Daphnia pulex: one gene and its partner. The protein of the gene in region 1 interacts with the protein of each later gene in a biochemical or structural test. Links are inferred from orthologs where the notes say so. Each region holds a gene or a part of one and is shown on either strand. Other genes may lie near its edges.

Region 1 (9,388 bases):
CCCGCGCTCGACAAACTTTAAAAACTAGCCAATAAAAGATATGCGAAGATTTGTTACATCATTTCCTTTCTTTAACTTTGTTCAGTTTTCCATATCGCTGGACAGTAAAGGGAATGAAAAGTCATCACTTGCTGTAAGTCAATATATTCTCTATATAATTTCTGGAAGTATCATTTCAACAAATCTTTTAGCTTACATTTAAGATGCTAAAGAGGATAAAGATCTAAAGTTTAACTGGAAATGTAAATGTTCTACATTTTTCTAGTAAGCTCCTCCGGCCTGAGGAGAAGCCCCGCCGTAGGGAAAGGCAGCTGAAGCCTGCTGCTGTTGATACGATGGAGCCGCTGGAGCCGATTGTTGCTGATAAGATGGGGCCGATGGGGTCTGTTGCTGTTGGTAGGATGGAGCCGCTTGGGCGGGCTGTTGGTAGGTCGGGGCTGCTGGAGCAGGTTGTTGGTACGAAGGAGCGACTGGAGTCTGCTGTTGCTGTTGATAAGACGGGACTGGGGCTACAGGGGCCTGTGGCTGGTATGATGGTGATGAGGAAGCTTGTTGCGGGTATGACTGAGCCGCTGGAGCTTGATGTTGCTGTTGGTGAGATGGAGCCGATGGAGCAGAGTGTTGGTAGGATGGAGCAGCTGGTGCTTGCTGCTGGTACGGTGAAGTTGCTGGAGCTTGTTGCTGATAAGAAGGAGCCGAATGGGCCTGCTGCTGGTGAGACGGAGCAGGTTGTTGATAGGCTGGAGGAGCGACTGGGGCTTGTTGTTGGTAGGGCGAAGCAGACTGCGAATGTTGCTGGTGAGATGGACCAGCTCCTGAATGAGTTCCAGTATTCGAACCACCATAATTTGAGCCGGAAGAGGGTGATGGTTGAGGGGGAGCTCCGTAACCGCCGCCTAATAAAAGAGGCAAGAATTTTATTTCAAAGCAATAATGAAAAAATATGTTTTAACTTCATGCTGTATGTGTAATGTTATTGAAATACTTACGTTGTGCTTCAGTTCCATGTTGATTTAGCATCAGACCCAACAACACAATACATTTAAAGGTATTCACGATCTGAAAAACAAAGAAATTCAAGATTAGCCTAAATAAAATAAGATAAGACAGTTTGCTTTACCATCCTGTTAAATTGTTGATACTACTAGTCGAAGAAGAGAATGTTTTGCAACTGTGCTTATGATGGTCTCAACAGGTTGCTTTTATACCTCCAGGTCGCACTTAGAAAGTCAGCTTGTATGTGCGAATTGCAAAAGATTATTTTCTCCTTTCTTTTCAAATTGTTTTATCCTTTAACACAGCGCAAAATGAGGCGCACAGACGATCGTAAAAACGTCAGATTGGTTTATTCTATCCCGCTATACACCGTTTCCTTTCTTCTCACTTCTGGTCGTCAACCCGTGGAAAAACTGGGAAAACCCGTGCGGTTTCTTTTTCAATCTAAGCATTACATTTATTGCTCTCGCCAATGAGTGCAACAGTGTAACATAACGTCAACTTGCCCTTAAAACCGAAAGTTTTTTTTTCTTTTTTGTCTGAAGAGTCTTAAGTAGGCTAATACTTGGATACGAAAGCATTTAATCTTAAATAGGAAAATATTGAGTCCCTTGCGATTAATCAGTTGGTACGTGGTTCAATCACAAACAGCATTTTCATGGACCCATCTAGGTGATGTTTAAGTGAGCTACTTTATACTGATGACTCAGCAATGGCACGGCGCGGTATCGCAGTTTCGTAGAGTGTAGGAAACTTTACCAATCTCAATTTTCAACAACGAGTCGACCCAAAAAGTTATCTTACTGATCCAGACCAACCAGGAAACTCTAAATGGTTAAGATACACACAGGCGTGAGGCACTAAAATCTAATGCTCTGTGCGCTACAGGTATATCCTTACCCAATGGATGCAAAGCCTCTTCGACCTCCATTGAGCTCGCTGCCTGTAAATTAAAATAATAGTTTTATCACAGTCATCACATGGAATGAAATTAGACTCTATATTACGGGATTCCAAATATACAATCACACTCAAGGCAATTATTCAGAAGCGAATTATTTTCGGGTTCAACCAATAACAAGATGTTCCTTGAATCTTATGTAAATCACCCCACCGGCGATTTGATGAACTGTAGTAGGAAGAACAATTTACTTAAGCGTAGACGTTAATAACGACCACCAAATGGCTATTCTTTAGTTTAATTTTTGATTTGTTTCCTTAAGCTCTCAACGAGCCTTTTTTGTTCTTCCAATTCCTGCTTGACCATCGCCAACTGAAACTCTACCTCGCGAAGATCCTTTTTCATCTCCATACAAGTGGAACAACTCTCATCGATTACGACGGGCTAAAAATCAAACAAACAATAAAATTACTGGTTAGGAACTCGTTTTGCAATGTTCAATTTGAAAATCACTTTTGGCTTTTCTGGGTATTTTGACTTTTTGTCTTTGATGAGGTCGACGATGATTATATTTGATATCCGCTTCCGGGACTCGGTCGTCTTGGTATCAGATTCCTTCATTCCGTATTGCAATCTTTCGTGCCCATAGTCCATTTCGACCGCAGATTGGTCTGCAATTTCACTTTCCGTCAGCTTTTTCAATGATAAATTCAACGAAGGTACAGCATTGGGTTTTAACAACTTTTTGTCTAAAATCAAAAGTTTTCTTTTTTTACAAAGTTAATTCACGATAGTATTTCTGAAACGCTATTATACTTGTTTCTCTGTAATCATCCATATCAAAGTGCATGGAGCAAACCTTGCCCTTTTCTTTGGGGATCCAATCGCCATTCGTTAAGCTCTAAATTAAGAAAGAATGCTTGAGTGTTTGCTGTTTGGTGATAGAATAAACATTTTGTTGTCTACCTCTATCCAGAGTTTCTTCCTTGCTGGATCTGCTGGAAATTCATGGAAAGAAAGTGGCTCAGGCCAGAGCTGGGCCTCCCTGTACTGTCTACAATTCATGGCAGAACACACATAGTATGCTTGTGCTGTAGAAGTGGATGAGGCCACAACACCTGATGAGTTTGTTGCTCTTGCTGTATTGGCTGCTTTGGTCAACCCACTCTTAGGCAATGGCTCCAGGATGAGATGTAGTGATGGAACTGCTGTTGCATTAAGACGTTTGACTGCAGATGCTAAAATAAAATGAAGTGTAACAGCGTCCAATCTCTCATTTTATTTTATATTGCAGTTACCAGTTGCCTCTCGATAGCATTCAGGAGTAAAATGCATGGCACATATTTTCGCTTTGTCTCCTGGCACCCAGTCTTCTCGTTCTATTATCTAGAATATTAAAAATTATTAGTTTTCAGAATCTCCCACTTGTTGAATTATATGTAAATCTTACTTCTAACCACAGTTTCCTCCTTGCCAAGTCTGCTGGAAACTCATGAAAGGTCAATGGCTCTGGCCAACGATTAGCCTCTCTGTATGATCTGCAGTTATTGACTGAACAAATATTCCTCTCTCGTTTTTTATGCAACATTTTCAAATCATCGGTCGATGAACGATTTAAAACACAGAAGTAAAACTCTCCAAGGCTTCGGATGTAAAGGCATTTGGATCCGCAGACACACACCAACAATATGTAAATATTCAAAAGTAGACAAATACGTTATTAAGTTCCAAGTAGTTTCCTAAAGTGTTTTGTCAACAAACACATGTGACCAAATTAGTCTACAATTGAAAATATTTCTTTCTCTGTTAGAATACGAAGTACCTCTAATGTTTGGAATTTCTGTTCTCTGAATGTGCAGTGTGAGATATTAATCTGAGGCGATACACAGACGCCATCTATACTGCATAGAACATTTTTGTAAACAACGAATATCCTGCCACAAGCAATCTATCTGTAATTTTGTGGCATAATAAATTGAACTAAATACCGTTTTCTAATGATTGATAGATAATTTTCAGGTTTCATAAAGTAATCGCTATTCGAGTTTTTTCCTTTTTTTTTTTATTTCTTAAATTTTCTTTTTGACGATAGATGTCTCATTAGAGGACCAGGTGGCAAAGGGTAATTTTTCAAACTAGGCTAGGCCCTAACGCTGTTTCTGGCTAGTAGGCTATACAAATAACTAATTACACGAAATTTGAAGACGGGAAATTCAAACTCCCACAACGAAAATAAGATACTATCTCGAATGAGAATTTCAGATATGCACTGCATCTTTCACGGAATCAGTTACACAAAGTATAAAGAGAAAAGACGGTCGAAGCAAAAACTCATTCCTTTTAGCCAGAGAAAACTTAGTATAAGCTAATGGAACGAATGGCGAGGAATTCCATAAATATAAAGATACTACTGATCAATGATAATTAAAATTAGAAATCAAAATTTTAAATGAATGAATTACAAGTGATGAATCATGGTTAATAGTAATAGCCTCATGTAAAACGAGTAAGCAAGTTACATCGATAATAATGGGCACAATTCATTGTTTCAGCATTAAATAAATTATTTTGCACGCTTAAATTTGGCTCCTCCTTTGCTTCCCTTTTTCGGTTCCTCGGCCTATTAATAAAAAATGGCAAATTAATTTTAAATGCATCATGCGGTAAAAAACAAACAAACAGATAATACAACCAACCTTGCGCTTTGAAGCCGGTGTGGAAGGCGTAGACGGTTTGCTAGAAGGAAGAACTTTGAAAAACGAATCAAGTCGGCCTTGCGTCTGCCCTGTTTTCGCTTTACACAATTTCTTGGCGCCTGAGCGAATGCGCTCTTCGTTGAAGTTTTTGTCACCACACATAAATTTGACTAGACCTTCTTCATCTGGCTGTGTCCATTTCAACTATATATGGAAAGAGGAGGCAATGGGACAGTGCGATTAGGTTGTGATCTGACACGTAGTAAGTTTAAGGCTTACGTCAAGGGTCTCTGCATCTGTAACATCAGGCGTTTTGAATAGTCGTCTTGCTTCTTGATAAGGCCAATTTTCTGGGACGGTGTACTTTTTGGTATCAAGGTTTTCGATCACCTTTTCAATGCATCGATGTTTGTCTATGAGTTCCTTGGCTCTTTTGGCGCCTATTCCTTTTATCGTGTCACAATAATCGCAGCCCAACATGATGCATAGATCGATGAACTAAGAAATTGAAAATTTAATAAGACAAACATTTTAAGATTTTCTTCGAGCATTTTTACTTCATCCATTGTGTACGACAGTCCGTCCAAAATTTTATCCAAATGGAATTCCTTGATGGGCATTTTTTTGGCTTCACTGTATGTCAAGTATCTCAGCAGGACATTGGAACCAAAGGTCAATGAATCCATGTCTTCAGTTGCAGTTGCATAAACCTTTCCTGCTTTCACCAAAGCTGCACACTGAGCTTCAGCTTCACAGGGTGCCTAGACAGATGAAATGGTCATGCTGAAATGTTGCCAATGCAAAAACGGCCAACCAACCTCAACATAAGGTATTCCCATTAAAGTAAGTAGTTGTTTGCATTCATCAGTGTGTCCTTTGTTTACTTTTACCAGACGCTTGTTCATTTTTTCCATCTCCACTGCATCACCTATTGAAGATAGATAGATAGATAGATTAAAAACCAATTTTCGTGTAACCATAAAATTCTGCACAGAACAACCATAAAATTCTTGTAAATACCTGCATCTGTGGCAAGAACCAGTTGCTTTGATGCTTCTTCTCTTTTCTCTGCTCTTTTGGTCAGTTCACCCCCTTTCATGTCAGGTGGTTTTCCATCAAACACATAAACAGGCTTGATTCCATTATCAACCATCCGAATGGTCCGGTAGAAAATACCCATCAAGTGACTGTATGAAAGAAAACATTTCAATATACTTGTTTAGGGATGGAAAATATGTAAAACTGAACCTAGTAGTTTCTCCATCGGCAGAGGTTAGCATAGCCCCTTCAGATCGTACAGCTATAAGAAACTGGTAAATGCTCATTGAAGCATCAATGGCAACTTTTCTGCCTGAAAGAACACAAATAGGGTTACAGGTATTTACATGATGAATTATTTAACAAGATACCGAAATAGTTCTTAATTTCATTTTCTTTAATGGCAGTAGGAGCAGTATCTCCAATCACTTGGGTCAGCCCTTTAATACCCATTCTGAGCAGTGAGAATCGAATGGTGAAACTAGGATTTAAGAACTATTATGAAACTTCAATTCTGTTTTCTCTAAAATCAAACTGATGCCAGTATTTTCAACAGACGTTTTTTTTTTTTTTTTTTTTTATGATTGATGGGGCTCCGAGTCAACAGACGTTATGAAATTGTATGTGTATCTTAAATGAATAAATAAGAAAGTAGCTCCGGAAGACTGCAGAACACGAATTGTGTCACGGAAAAGGCGCCAAAAAGTAGACGAAGCAGCAAAGCTGAATGCAGCGTTGCCAAACCCAATAATAATACCGCCTCACGGACGGCATCTAGCGGCGGAGATAGAACCATCTGCTGGCTAGGCGGGCTAGCGCAAGCGATTTAACGGCTGAAAGCGACTTTCCCGTCTAAATTTCTCTTAATTAACCGTTTCTATAGAATATTATACCCTAAATAATTAGCATGTCAGACTATTTTATATTGTCATTTGCCTAGTCGCCTAGCCTAGTCGTTGATTTGGCATTTTTGATTTTGACATGATTTTGACATTTGAATTTCGCAACATCGATTGAGTCGATATTTCATTTGTTTAGACTTACATTAACATCACTTGTCGCAGTTATTAATATGCAGGAACGCTTCAAACAATTAAAGGTTTCATCGCAGCTATTATATAGACATTTGGTTAAATAAAAACGTATAGGTATATTCATGACGCTCCTAATGAGTTCTTGACAGGCATCTTTTCTCGTTAGGGTGCTGGGGGATGCGCCTCCCTCCCTGGTCCCCTCCCATAACGCTTGACGCCAAATAAATGCAGAACAGCGGAATCAAGACACACTTAACTCTCCAGTCTCTTTCCACCCGACGTGTATACCGCATCCGCCATCCGCCAGCAGCCAATGCGAGCCAATGCACAGCAGCTGTGGTGGTCAAAATCGATTCGTTCATTGACATGCAACTGACGCTTGTGATATCTTATCTAACCGACGTCAACGGAGAGAGAAAAGAAGAAAAGAAGCTGTTCAGCGAAAATCCAATTGGCTTTTTATTTTGCATAACTAGTAGAAAAGGGATTTTTAGACTTTTTATTTTGACAAATCCGCGGGCCCACGACCACTGCGCTCGCACCCAAATGGCCGCAAAACGGACGAAAACTGTCGCAGCAGCCAGACCATGTCAAAATGCCCGTCAGACATCAGCACAGCAGCAGCATAAGCTCTGGGCTGTTTTGCATCGGTTGATATTTATTCATGGCAGCGCAGAGCACGAACGGGTTTCAGCAGGAGCGAATATAACGGGCGTTGCCGCTTTTCACGTTATAATCTACGGCGAAAGCTTTTGCATAACGAAAATCGATCTGAGCATATCTCAGCACCAGCATCAGCAGCTCGCTCAACTTTATAGGCTAAAAGTATAACCTATACATGTTTAGACGCCTGGCAGCTCTCAGGGTGATCAGCACTAGGCTATATAGCTATAAGAACGAGATTGAGTCAATCACAAGTTTCCTTTCCAGCTTCTAATCTTCTCATGTAAACGGCAGTAGTTATAAATAAATTCTATTTTGAAATCAAATGTCAACTGTTTCAAAGAAGCCCTTTTAAATGCTCGGATAGGTAAAGTACCTCGGCAATTAAATATTCGGACGGAATAGCCCTGCTGAGCTGTCGTCCTCTAATCTATTCGTCTAACAGCACATCAGCACATGTCACATTTATATATGCTGTGCGCCGGACTCTTAAAGACCGACGGAGCGCGTACAGGATCGGCGACGTTTTCTTCATGTTCCGTCTAAAATCACGATGCTGAACACACCGTTTCCCATCTTCAAGACGTTCTCTACAGAGCATCCAGCAGCATCCAGCAGCGCTCCTAACGTTTTACTTATATTTCCCCGAATGCGCGTGATGAGAATATCCTATAAGCTTCTCTGCTGCTGCTGCTGCTGTGCATCAGAACGGCGGGTACTTATCGCTTTTGAGTGGCGGTTAAAGCGGCCGACATCAACGCGCTCCTCTTCTCAATCCAGCTGTCGTTTCATTCCCACTCCATTTGAAACAGGCTGACGGCAGCAGCACACACACGCAGTTGTACATATTAGAGACAGCACCATCATATATAACCGGGACAGCAGCAGCAGTAGCAGAGAAGAGAGAGGACGAAAGCACGCACTGTATCTAATCTGTAGAGACACTCTATCTGTATAACAGCGATGAGCTGATATACATTCTAGGAGATATAATACACGCACTTGAGTTGAAATGGCGAACATCATGCGCGGATATTATGTACGACGATGGCACAGTCATTAAAATATCAGGAGACCGTTTGTTACCATGGCAAACATATAAGTAGTAATCAATAGTCATCTCTAAAAGCTGGCTATACATTAGTGTTTCACCGTTGTGCTTTTTTTAATTCGTTATCGTTATCGTTAATCGTTATTTTTTCAATTTTTCATTCGTTTCGTTCTTCGTTTCGTTAATTTAAACGTGTCGCATTTTTCTCTTTTTGCGACCGTTATCGTTTACCTTACAATTTTTTTTTAGAACCTAGTTTTCTAAGGCCTGTAAGGCCAAATGATGTAGCGAAAATAATGACGTAATTCCTCGCTAGGGGATCGCTAAGTCGCTAGTAGGTGGTCATCCCAAAATTGAAAATTCCAAATTTTGAGGGAAAAAAAAGTTTCCCCTGGTGGTCAAAAAATTTGAAATCTCTACGGTTTTGATACGAAAAATTTAGCAAGAAATTAACGAAAACAACGAAAAAAACAGCCATTTCGTTATCGTTAACGAAAAAAACGAGCATTTTCCAAAAAAGTCGATAACGAGGCTCGTTAATACGTTATTTTCGTTGTCGTTATTTAAACGAGTGAAACACTACTATACATGTGTGTACAACCCCGGTACAACCCTGTGTATAGCCAGCATCATCTAATATACCGGTGTGTATAGTATATAGCGATCGATAAAACAGCGACAGCACAGCCCATCAGTCTTGAGCGCCAATTTCTTTTTTTCGGTGTTAATTCACAACACAGCAGTTGCTCCTATAAATAGACACAAGTTAAAATAAACATCAGAGACGGCGAGAAGAGAGTCTATAAGGTTCAAGATGCTGGCGGTTGACGTGGTATATAGACGCGAGTTTATGTATACATACGGCGGCGCTTGAATGTCTAAAAGTTGCGGTCGTCCGTTTGTATATAATCTGCGCTGATGGTGTCATCGCGCGACACGAGTCGAAGTGTTGCGGGAGTATAAGTTTTTTTTTTCTTTTCGTGTAAACGATTCTGTATATAGAGATTGC
Region 2 (8,845 bases), on another chromosome or scaffold:
GAGTACGTTTTAAGACTTGCTTTCATTCCGGCACCAGCAACCGAATTAGGAGAACTTGATGAGGCAAGGTTAGCTGACGTTAATCCAGTATTTGATGAGTTGGAATAGACCACCACTTGATTCTTGCCGCCTGCGGAACCAACTGGTTTGATGATCGTGTAACTAAAAGGCCGCACGTGTATGTTTGTTATGGCCGAGAGGTGGTCAGTACGAACGTGATAGAGTAACTGATCGTACTCTTGGAAAGTCAGAACACAACGCTTGCAAGGATGGCCGTTTGTCAACGGTAGATGGTTTTTCAGATGCTGCAAGTACTGCATATGCCCTGTATCGAATGCCTTTGCTTCATTGTCTCCTTTTGTATCGAACGTGTCGAGGCACAAAGGGCACAACAAATGTAAACTATTCTTGTGATTTTCATAGAAGTGGTTGATCAGTTGCGAGTGGGCTGAAGTCTGGAAATGACAGACACGGCAGCGATAGGGCATCTCACAGTACACATGCGTCTTCTCCAAATGCTGCTCCAACTGGCGAAATTGTGCGAACTTTTCGTGGCAAATTAAACACACCAGATCTTTAACGGAAGCAGTATCTTCCCTCGACATTTGAGACTATAGACCAGGGAGATCATTGATTAACATTTGAAATCATACCAATAATAATCTTATGCTTACCTTAAATGTCGAAAGAAACAAGTGATGATTATCTTCGTGCGCTTTTTTCTGACTTGCAGTAGCTAAAGTATCCAAGCAATAACTACAATGCTCCGTCCAATCATCTCCATCAGTCACTGCGTCTTTCACCAAATGTTGCCTCAAGTGTGCCATCATTTCCAAGTTAGTATGCGTCACTGTTTTGCATTCCGAATGCTAAACGAAGTAAACGTGAATTTTAAGGGATAAATTAAAACGCGAAGACCATTAAAGAGCACTACCTGACATTGGAGATGAGGTCTTGTCATTTCTGAATCCTCCGGATCCGGAATGGCTACTCCTTTACTTAAATCCAACATAGTGGCGTAGTACGATACAGTGCGCATTTCCTTTGCATTACTTGCCCCACTCGTTGAGGCGCTCTCTTTAATAGTTGAGACCATTGGGCGCTTAAGAGCTACCGTGCTCGTGGCTTCATTTGGAGAGGTTTGATTTGGTTTGTTTTGAGTAATGCTCCAGTCTTTGAATGGATCGACTGACACGATAGGTAGACGCCTGGCCAACACAAAATAGTGCTTTTAGGAAAAGTTATATAAGCAGAAAATTGCATGGTTTCCCTCTTTTTGATCAAAGAAATAACAATATACGAAAATTAAGATAGAATGTCTCACTTGACTAATGGCATTCCGGTTTCTGCACGAGCTTGAGCGCTGATATCGCGAATAATATTATGGAAAGCATCAGATGATGATTGCCCGTTGATTTCACGCCACACTAGTTCATCCAAGAACTGCTGGATCGTAGCAGTTGAAAGAAGTGATAGGGTATTCTGGAACACCTTAGGCACCGTTTTGCGGAGGTACTCCATAATGGTACGATTGTTTAGGCGGTCATCAACAGAAACCGTATTTAAATTTTTCTGTACTACATGACGAAATCCTAGTTCTTCGAGTGCCGCACGTTCAACAGTGAAATCTGTCATGATAATGGCTTTCTGATTCACCCACCTAAACAAAACGTGGAATGGTAAAAATTAGATTATAGCAATTGGGGATGCAATATTTTCATTTACTTTGGAAGGGGTTCTAGAATTTTGGTAAATCGAGCTCGACTACGCGTATCCCCAGCGATTGGTTCACAGGCCCGCAGTCGGAATTTCTTTGTTTCTTGATCATAGACGCCGAGGACTTCCACCTTAACGTCACGTCGCTTTCCATCCGTCGATGTTGTACCTAATGAAATCACTCCAACCTCAACGCGGCCATTTTTGCAGCCGAACAATGGAGTGCTAGAATGCACTTCTACCTACATTCGTATAAAATATAAATATGAAAATTTACAAAATATAAATAACTAGCAACGCGTACCGTGCAAACACTCCGTAACATGCCATAGAACAAGCGGAGAAAGACATGATCGATTTTCACCCACTGAACTACGTTCGAAACGGTTGTTTGGCAAGCCCAGTGATAAATGAGCTTTAGCAAAACTGTTGGGGACTGGGTAGAATCCTCAAATAATGACTCACGAAATATCGAAACAAAGTTGCGATCGCAACATTTTGTCATCCAAACATAGCCCCCACTAAATGTTCAATGGATTTAATTCACAATTCAATAACCTGTTCACGTCTTATTTAAATTTTTACCTGAATGGAAATTTATTCTCTTCTGCGTACATTCGCAGTTGTAATGGAACCGGGGTTGATGTCGCGTTAAAATGTGTTCGACAAGTGCCGAATTGCTGACTTCGTAAAAGGCCAACCTGCATTAACCATTCCGCAAATCGACGAGGATCGAGAACTAAACGGCTCTTTACGAACGAATCTAAAAAGCAAGACAAACCGAATGAAATAATTTTTTTAACATGCACAAAAAAAAATAAAATAAAAAAAAATAAAATACTCAACCAACCTAGTGCCTCTCGTTTCTTGGCATTTACGATGTCGGGAACTGAATTTGCCGGACGAACAACGACACAAAGAGAAGGTATCGTTTTAGACAGCATTTTTGTGTCTTCAGGTGGTGGCACACTCGCAGTATTTTTCGCTGGAGTGGCATTTGAAGGAACCGCCAAGATCGTCATTAGCTGACTTGTTGGGATAGTAACTGCAGGAGCTTGTGATGTTTCTGATGGCTTATTTGGCTTTTGCGTGGGAACAGGTTGATTGCTACTAGCTCTTTTGTTATTTCCACCTGAGATTGATGGAGTAACTTGAGCAACTTGAGTAGCTTGGGCAACTTGAACAGCTTGTGTGACTTTTGGTGTTTGAACAGTCTGGGGAGGTTTTACAGTATGAGAAAGCTGGATTACTTTTGCAGTTTGGGCAGCCTGAGCTACTTGAATAGTTTGAGGAATAGCTTGAACAGTTTGACCAACTTGGCCAGGTTGTATGCATGGTGCAGCTTTCTGTTTCTTTGCGGTAGTAGCAGTAAATTGTGAAAGCAATTGTGATGCTGGAAATGGAGTTTCATCAACAGCTGGAGTTTCATCTGCAGCAGGTAACAGAGCTATAGACTGATTCAGAGGCCTGAAAATTTTTGTTGGTAGTGTGGAAACAGGAGGAACAGAAGGAATTATTGGGGGTCTAATTAAAAATTGAGTAGGTCCACTTCGAGGACTATGCATAGTCTGCTGAACCGCTGGTGTTGGTAACTGAGGTGGTGGTGCAACAGGGTTCCGAACTTTAACCTGATATGTAGACTTCACCAACCAAACATTTCCAGTTTTTGTGACTGATGAACCTTCTGACAAAAATAAAACTGAACTAACTTGCCGGTTTAGTTTTAATGTATAGTTTACCTTTTTTAATCTGGTTGGCTTCTGACATGGCTTTTTCATATTCCATCATAGCATTTGTAAAGAAGCTAACTTGAGTTTCACTCAATTCTTCTTCACAACAATCAACTTCCAGATCACTGGAAAGCGTCATCTTGATTCTTGATTCTTGATTTTTATATTAATCCAATAAAACTCACAACTGCAAAATTCTTGCCGAGGAAAACAAACAACGTATGGGGAATGCGAAAAAATCAAGCCAAGGCAAAACATTGTTGCCAAATTTTCCCTATGCAATAATTGAAATTGAAATAAAAAGGAAAGAATTTTTTAAAATTATATATTAAATTTATGAATATTTCAATAGAAATAAATTTTTAATTGTATTAAGTTAGTGAAAAATAATAAAAATATAGAATGCTTTAAACTTAATTTGGCAGTCTCAATTCTCAAATCAAGCCGGGGAATTTCGTCTGTTCAAAATTTTCTCCTTCATTATTGTTCAAGTTTTTTCGTCTGTTTCAAGATCTCATTTCAACTTTCACAATGAAGTTTCGTGGGAAAATGATTGATCCTAACTGCATTAAGCAATTCATAGGTACGCAATTCCGAATTCTATTATTCATTGCTGTTCTAGGATTAAAATTTCATAAGTCGAAGTCATCAATGATCTTCACATTTTAAACTACAGGCATTTTAGGTTGCATGACGAAACTTGGGAAATCATGCATTCTAAGGATCACTACCAACGACTTGTATTTCATTGTCCGTGAATCCCAGACTATTTCAACCTCTCCACTTATTTGGTGTACTCTTGATGAGGGTCACTTTTTTTCAGAATTTGGAATGGAAGGTTTAAGTACCGTTGATAACGAAATATACCTTGAATTTGTTGCAGGTGAAGTGTACAAACAATGTTAAAACTATTAGATTCAAAATTTTCTTATTTTAATTAATAGAAAATGTTGCAAGAACATTGAGTGCCTTGAAAGTATCAGGAACTGCAAAATCAGTAAAAATCAAACTCACAAAGAAGCTTTCTTCACCGTGTCTAACTTTTGAGATTGACTTGGTATTCTTGAGATTGGCTCCTTGACTGACTTGTTATTCTCCTTATATGCATTAAAATTTCTCATGTATACTTTCAGCCATCAGGTTCTAATCATTCACGATTAGTTGTTCACGACATCCCTGTGAATTTGGTACCTAGAAGGCTTTGGAATGACTATGTTGAGCCAGAAGTTGTGGATCCAGATGTAATTATTTTTAGATATTTTTCTTATATCTTTATAAATATTTAAAATAAAACCCATTAATCTCTAGATTTCAGTTCATATGCCTCAGCTCCGTTTAATGAAAAGCATTATTGAACGCATGAAAAACCTTGCCAATATGGCCACTCTTCACGTCACATCCGAAGGATTACTTACTCTAACTGTTGAAACTGAAGCCGTTTCCGTAACTTCACACTTCGATCATCTACACGTTGAAAAGCAAAGTAAGACTTTAAGGTTGTAGCATTTCCACATAGTTTTAATTATCGGTAACGTTTTAATAGAGGAAGATGAAGCTAGTGTCACCATCGAATTGAAACGTCTATCAAATTTTCTAGCTCATGAACAGCTTAATCCACAAAAAGTCGTTTGTGGTATAAAACAATATGATTACATCTTTTACTAAACACAAACCGACACTCATTTCTATTCGATCTTATAGATGTGCTGCAATCAAAATTGATGCATTTGAATTTTCTGAGCGACAGTTACAGTTTGCAGTATTTTCTCCCAGGGATTAATGACCAATAACGAAGAAAAAAACTTTCCTGAGTTCCCTCGATGATTTATTAAAGTGGATCGCAACTTGAACGATTACATAGAGGCTCACATTTACGCGCTGATTTCAGTACCTACAACTCACGGAAAACCATCGTCATCTTCTTCAGCCATTTCCTTCGCATATTCCAAATCTTGTTGTTCCCGTTCGCGACGTTCCTATAAGAAAAATTTAATCTGTTTTTTACCATAGCCCAATACATAAAACGCAGATAATTCATGTCTGATAGATCTACAGTTTCAGATTTTAAATTACACAGTTGCATTTGGTTTCACGCCAAGGAATTCGATATTGAGTAACGCCGTTGTATTCACAATATTGCTTCTTATAATCAACTCATTTTTTCCTGCAATTAATCGAACGAAATTAGTTTGGGGTTACCTCTGCTGATTCCAAATCTTTGTTGTATGCCTTGGGAGGGAAGCGCATAGCTTTGACGCTTTGATTATGAATCTGAAGGCAGAAGGTGATTCGCTGGTGGAAAGCCAGCTGAGGCTCCTTGGTGCTGTAGACGTCAATGCTCTCCTTACTCTGCATAAATTTTCCTTCGTGGTCTAACCAAGCTTCGATAACTCCGTCACGAATGGCCTTGGCAACAATGAATTCAGCATCTTCGGCCGAGTCCAACAAAAGCTTGTGGGCTATGTCAGCTAGAGAAATGCGCGAATACGACAAAGAGATGGCTCTAATCGCAGTCTTGATAACATTGTGGCGTAGACGGATTATAAGAGTATAGGTATGATCAGCCTAAATAAATAAGAAAGTTAATTATATAATTTGGAGGGGGAACATTCGCTTGAAAGACCCTGCCTGGAAAGTTTTTCCGTAGTTCTCTAACACTTGATTGAATCTGTGTATGTCTCCCAACCTGACGGCTTGCGTCATTTGAAAATATGGAGCCAAGGCGTGTCTCATTGTTGACTGACGGAAAATATGCCGTTCAGGAATGTCTCCCATCAACAACTCGACTGTTACCAAAAGCTTTTGAACCGTTTGTTTGAAACCAACTGCTGTATGCTGGGGCGCTTTCCGAATGGCTTGCAAAAGATGAGTGTGAGCCTAAAATCAACAAAACAATGTTACAATTAGGAGATTAAAATAATAATAATAATAATTGTGTGTTCTCACCTGCGAATATTCCAATTGAATAGCCTTGATTCTTCCAAGATAGTAAAGATAACGTGACCACTCGTTGTTACTTCCAGATTCTGGGAAGACAGATTTTGAGACCAACTTGTCGGCCTAGAAAACGACTTATTAGGTAATCTAATGAAAAATAAATAAAAATAAAATAATGAAAACTTACTTGATCATACAGACTGTAGAAAAGATAGTTGCGCAGCAAACAATTGATCAGCACTGCCTGTCCCTCAAAATCTTTTCGGAGAGTACATGTACGTAGCCGGCTATGCAGAAAGCTAGAATAATAATAATAATTTAAGATATTTTGAAAGGTATTTTTAGCTAGTTCATTTTTACCTTCTGATTGAATCCAGCTTTCCAGCAAGCTCGTACGTCCTAGAATGATAGAAGTAGCAACGAGCAGCCAATAAATCCAAAGTACGCCGATTTTGAGCTGTTATTTTCTGCATTAATTGGTCTGAGCAGAGAACTCCTTCTTGAATGCGCTTATTATCGATACAATGAAGAAGAACTAACATATGGATGTATACGTCAACCTACATAAACTTCAGTCAGCAAAGGTTAAAAACGAATTTTGACCGAGATATATTTACTTCAGGTAAAGGAGAAGACGTCCCCTGTTTGGGAGCTCTTGTTCTTTGGATTGGAGATGCAATATCAAGAGAGTCATCCCCTCCTACTAGATTAAGCAAGTTGTCTCTTTCCTTTATCGAATAGCTATAACTGTGAAGAATGATGCGACGTAATACAGCGGGATTCAGTCGACGACGAGTGTTAGGCAACGACCTCAGTACTCGGAAAACAAATCGAGGCTCCTTTGTTATAACAGACTTTTCTACTTGCCTCAGTTGTTCACGGATATCTGTAATAAAGTTTAAAGAGACTGTAAGTTTTTTTCACCAGCATGTTATCCTTGCACGTAAATATTGGAAACCAGAAAATCTTATAACAAATAATTTAAATTTAACTAGTCTCATTTAACAGATGACAATACAATTGTAATTTTTAAGTTTTTCATATATTTTAAAATCTAGGAATTTAAAAGCAGAAGAACTTGAAAAGATTTTAATCTGTTCTCCAGACAAGTTTACAATCCATACCTTCTGTGGTTGCTGTATCAACATCCTTAACGTCTTTCTTCGTAATTTCCACTTCAACCTCCGTAACGGGGCTGTCCACTTCCATAGTTTCAACAGGTGGCATATTGAGAAGATGATTTCGAGCAACGGATTTTCAAATATTGTTTTATGAAAACCTTAGCTTTCTATTGCCTTCTTTTAATGTCTTTGGTCTCGTACTCTCGTTTACAGAACCAATTTCAACGCTCAGGCCGGCAGCGGAAAAAAACTCAACATTACAAGGCAGAATTGACAGTCGTAAGTTGCCAGTTTTACAGTAAAAAGTTACACACGAATGAATATATATAGAATGAAAAATTTGTTTTCAAAAATTTATTTCTAATATTTTGAAAGTTTTTTCTGTTTCATTTACGATTTTTTTATTCATGCGTTTTGTTTAATCAAAATTACTTGGCAAACATTCAGAATTTAGCAGACGGTTTTTGTGACGGGAGCGGGTCTGCGGGGAGCCGGTGATTGCTGAAGCGAGGGCAAACTCATAAGTCAAATTGAAATCCTTTTTCTATTCGAGTATCACATGTTTTTTGTGTGTGTGTATTAAATACTTATTAAATTAAACATGATACGCCTTGGTTTCCAGTTACTTGGTGGTGCAAAAACTTTTCAGCCTTCTCTGTCTATAAAAGTTGAACAAATAAGGGTAACTATAAATCAACAACACATTTCTTTGTTTACTATACAATCAGAGAAGGTTTAGATACCTTTTGAGGAAATTGCTATCTCTTTATTTCTATCTATTTAAACAGAAAGAAGTAGAAGTGGCACTAAATTCTTTTCTCAATATCAAGTATTTTTTTTTTGTTTTGTTCCAATCAGACCACATTTGTACTGAAAAGACGCTATCCACCGTTACTGGATAAACAAAATAGACCCCCAAAACCTCTAGTGACAAAAAACTTTGTATATGATGAAGTTGAAAATACTAATCTAAAAAAAGAACCAGATCTCAAGCTCATCCTGACTTCCTTTGTTGAGGGTATAATTGGGTTCTGTTTGCTTCTCTTCAACAATAATTAATAATTGAATGATTGATTTAGGTGTTGGTCTAAAAAATGAAATTGTAACTGTACGGCCTAATTTTGGCCGCTTTAAACTCTTAGCATGTGGTCTTGCAGTTTATGCTTCACCAGAAAATTTGGAAAAACTGAAAAAAGATCTTGAAAATTCAGATAATAAAGTCCAGACTACACTTCACAGCTCTCGTTTTGCAGAATTGGTATAATCACATCATTGTTGTGTTACTTTAATCGCTACAATATTTCATTTTACAACGTGTAGACTCGACGCGACTTGGCAAGT

Evidence for each region.
Region 2: the proteins of flap endonuclease 1-like (region 1) and checkpoint protein HUS1-like form a complex in vitro, tested with the Homo sapiens proteins (2 studies listed by BioGRID). The link is inferred for Daphnia pulex from reciprocal best matches to the Homo sapiens genes FEN1 and HUS1.

What each region holds. Positions count from the first base shown.
Region 1 is NC_060025.1:1,068,403-1,077,790, forward strand, and holds flap endonuclease 1-like, read right to left. Parts: upstream 6,355-9,388; 5' UTR 6,244-6,354; intron 6,193-6,243; 5' UTR 6,085-6,192; coding exon 6,003-6,084; intron 5,945-6,002; coding exon 5,842-5,944; intron 5,781-5,841; coding exon 5,614-5,780; intron 5,522-5,613; coding exon 5,412-5,521; intron 5,355-5,411; coding exon 5,151-5,354; intron 5,092-5,150; coding exon 4,873-5,091; intron 4,798-4,872; coding exon 4,594-4,797; intron 4,518-4,593; coding exon 4,461-4,517; 3' UTR 3,720-4,460; intron 3,637-3,719; exon of another isoform or gene 3,541-3,636; 3' UTR 3,348-3,540; intron 3,284-3,347; 3' UTR 3,196-3,283; intron 3,136-3,195; 3' UTR 2,864-3,135; intron 2,799-2,863; 3' UTR 2,714-2,798; intron 2,647-2,713; 3' UTR 2,411-2,646; intron 2,342-2,410; 3' UTR 2,004-2,341; intron 1,940-2,003; 3' UTR 1,897-1,939; exon of another isoform or gene 1,824-1,896; 3' UTR 1,121-1,823; intron 1,060-1,120; 3' UTR 1,008-1,059; coding exon of another isoform or gene 986-1,007; and 4 more. Other genes in the region: DNA-directed RNA polymerase II subunit RPB1-like, read right to left, coding at 262-896, 986-1,007. UniProt on the Homo sapiens protein: Structure-specific nuclease with 5'-flap endonuclease and 5'-3' exonuclease activities involved in DNA replication and repair.
Region 2 is NC_060024.1:9,949,240-9,958,084, reverse strand, and holds checkpoint protein HUS1-like, read left to right. Parts: upstream 1-3,876; 5' UTR 3,877-3,977; coding exon 3,978-4,029; intron 4,030-4,122; coding exon 4,123-4,329; intron 4,330-4,390; coding exon 4,391-4,503; intron 4,504-4,579; coding exon 4,580-4,687; intron 4,688-4,754; coding exon 4,755-4,929; intron 4,930-4,989; coding exon 4,990-5,079; intron 5,080-5,147; coding exon 5,148-5,236; 3' UTR 5,237-5,344; coding exon of another isoform or gene 5,345-5,422; 3' UTR 5,423-5,553; downstream 5,554-8,845. Other genes in the region: uncharacterized protein LOC124200064, read right to left, coding at 1-611, 675-869, 935-1,208, 1,325-1,660, 1,726-1,958, 2,021-2,237, 2,302-2,479, 2,567-3,400 and 1 more; probable 26S proteasome non-ATPase regulatory subunit 3, read right to left, coding at 5,345-5,422, 5,646-6,011, 6,075-6,323, 6,393-6,506, 6,571-6,682, 6,744-6,943, 7,001-7,269, 7,508-7,610; 39S ribosomal protein L9, mitochondrial-like, read left to right, coding at 8,106-8,186, 8,363-8,522, 8,584-8,762, 8,825-8,845. UniProt on the Homo sapiens protein: Component of the 9-1-1 cell-cycle checkpoint response complex that plays a major role in DNA repair. The 9-1-1 complex is recruited to DNA lesion upon damage by the RAD17-replication factor C (RFC) clamp loader complex.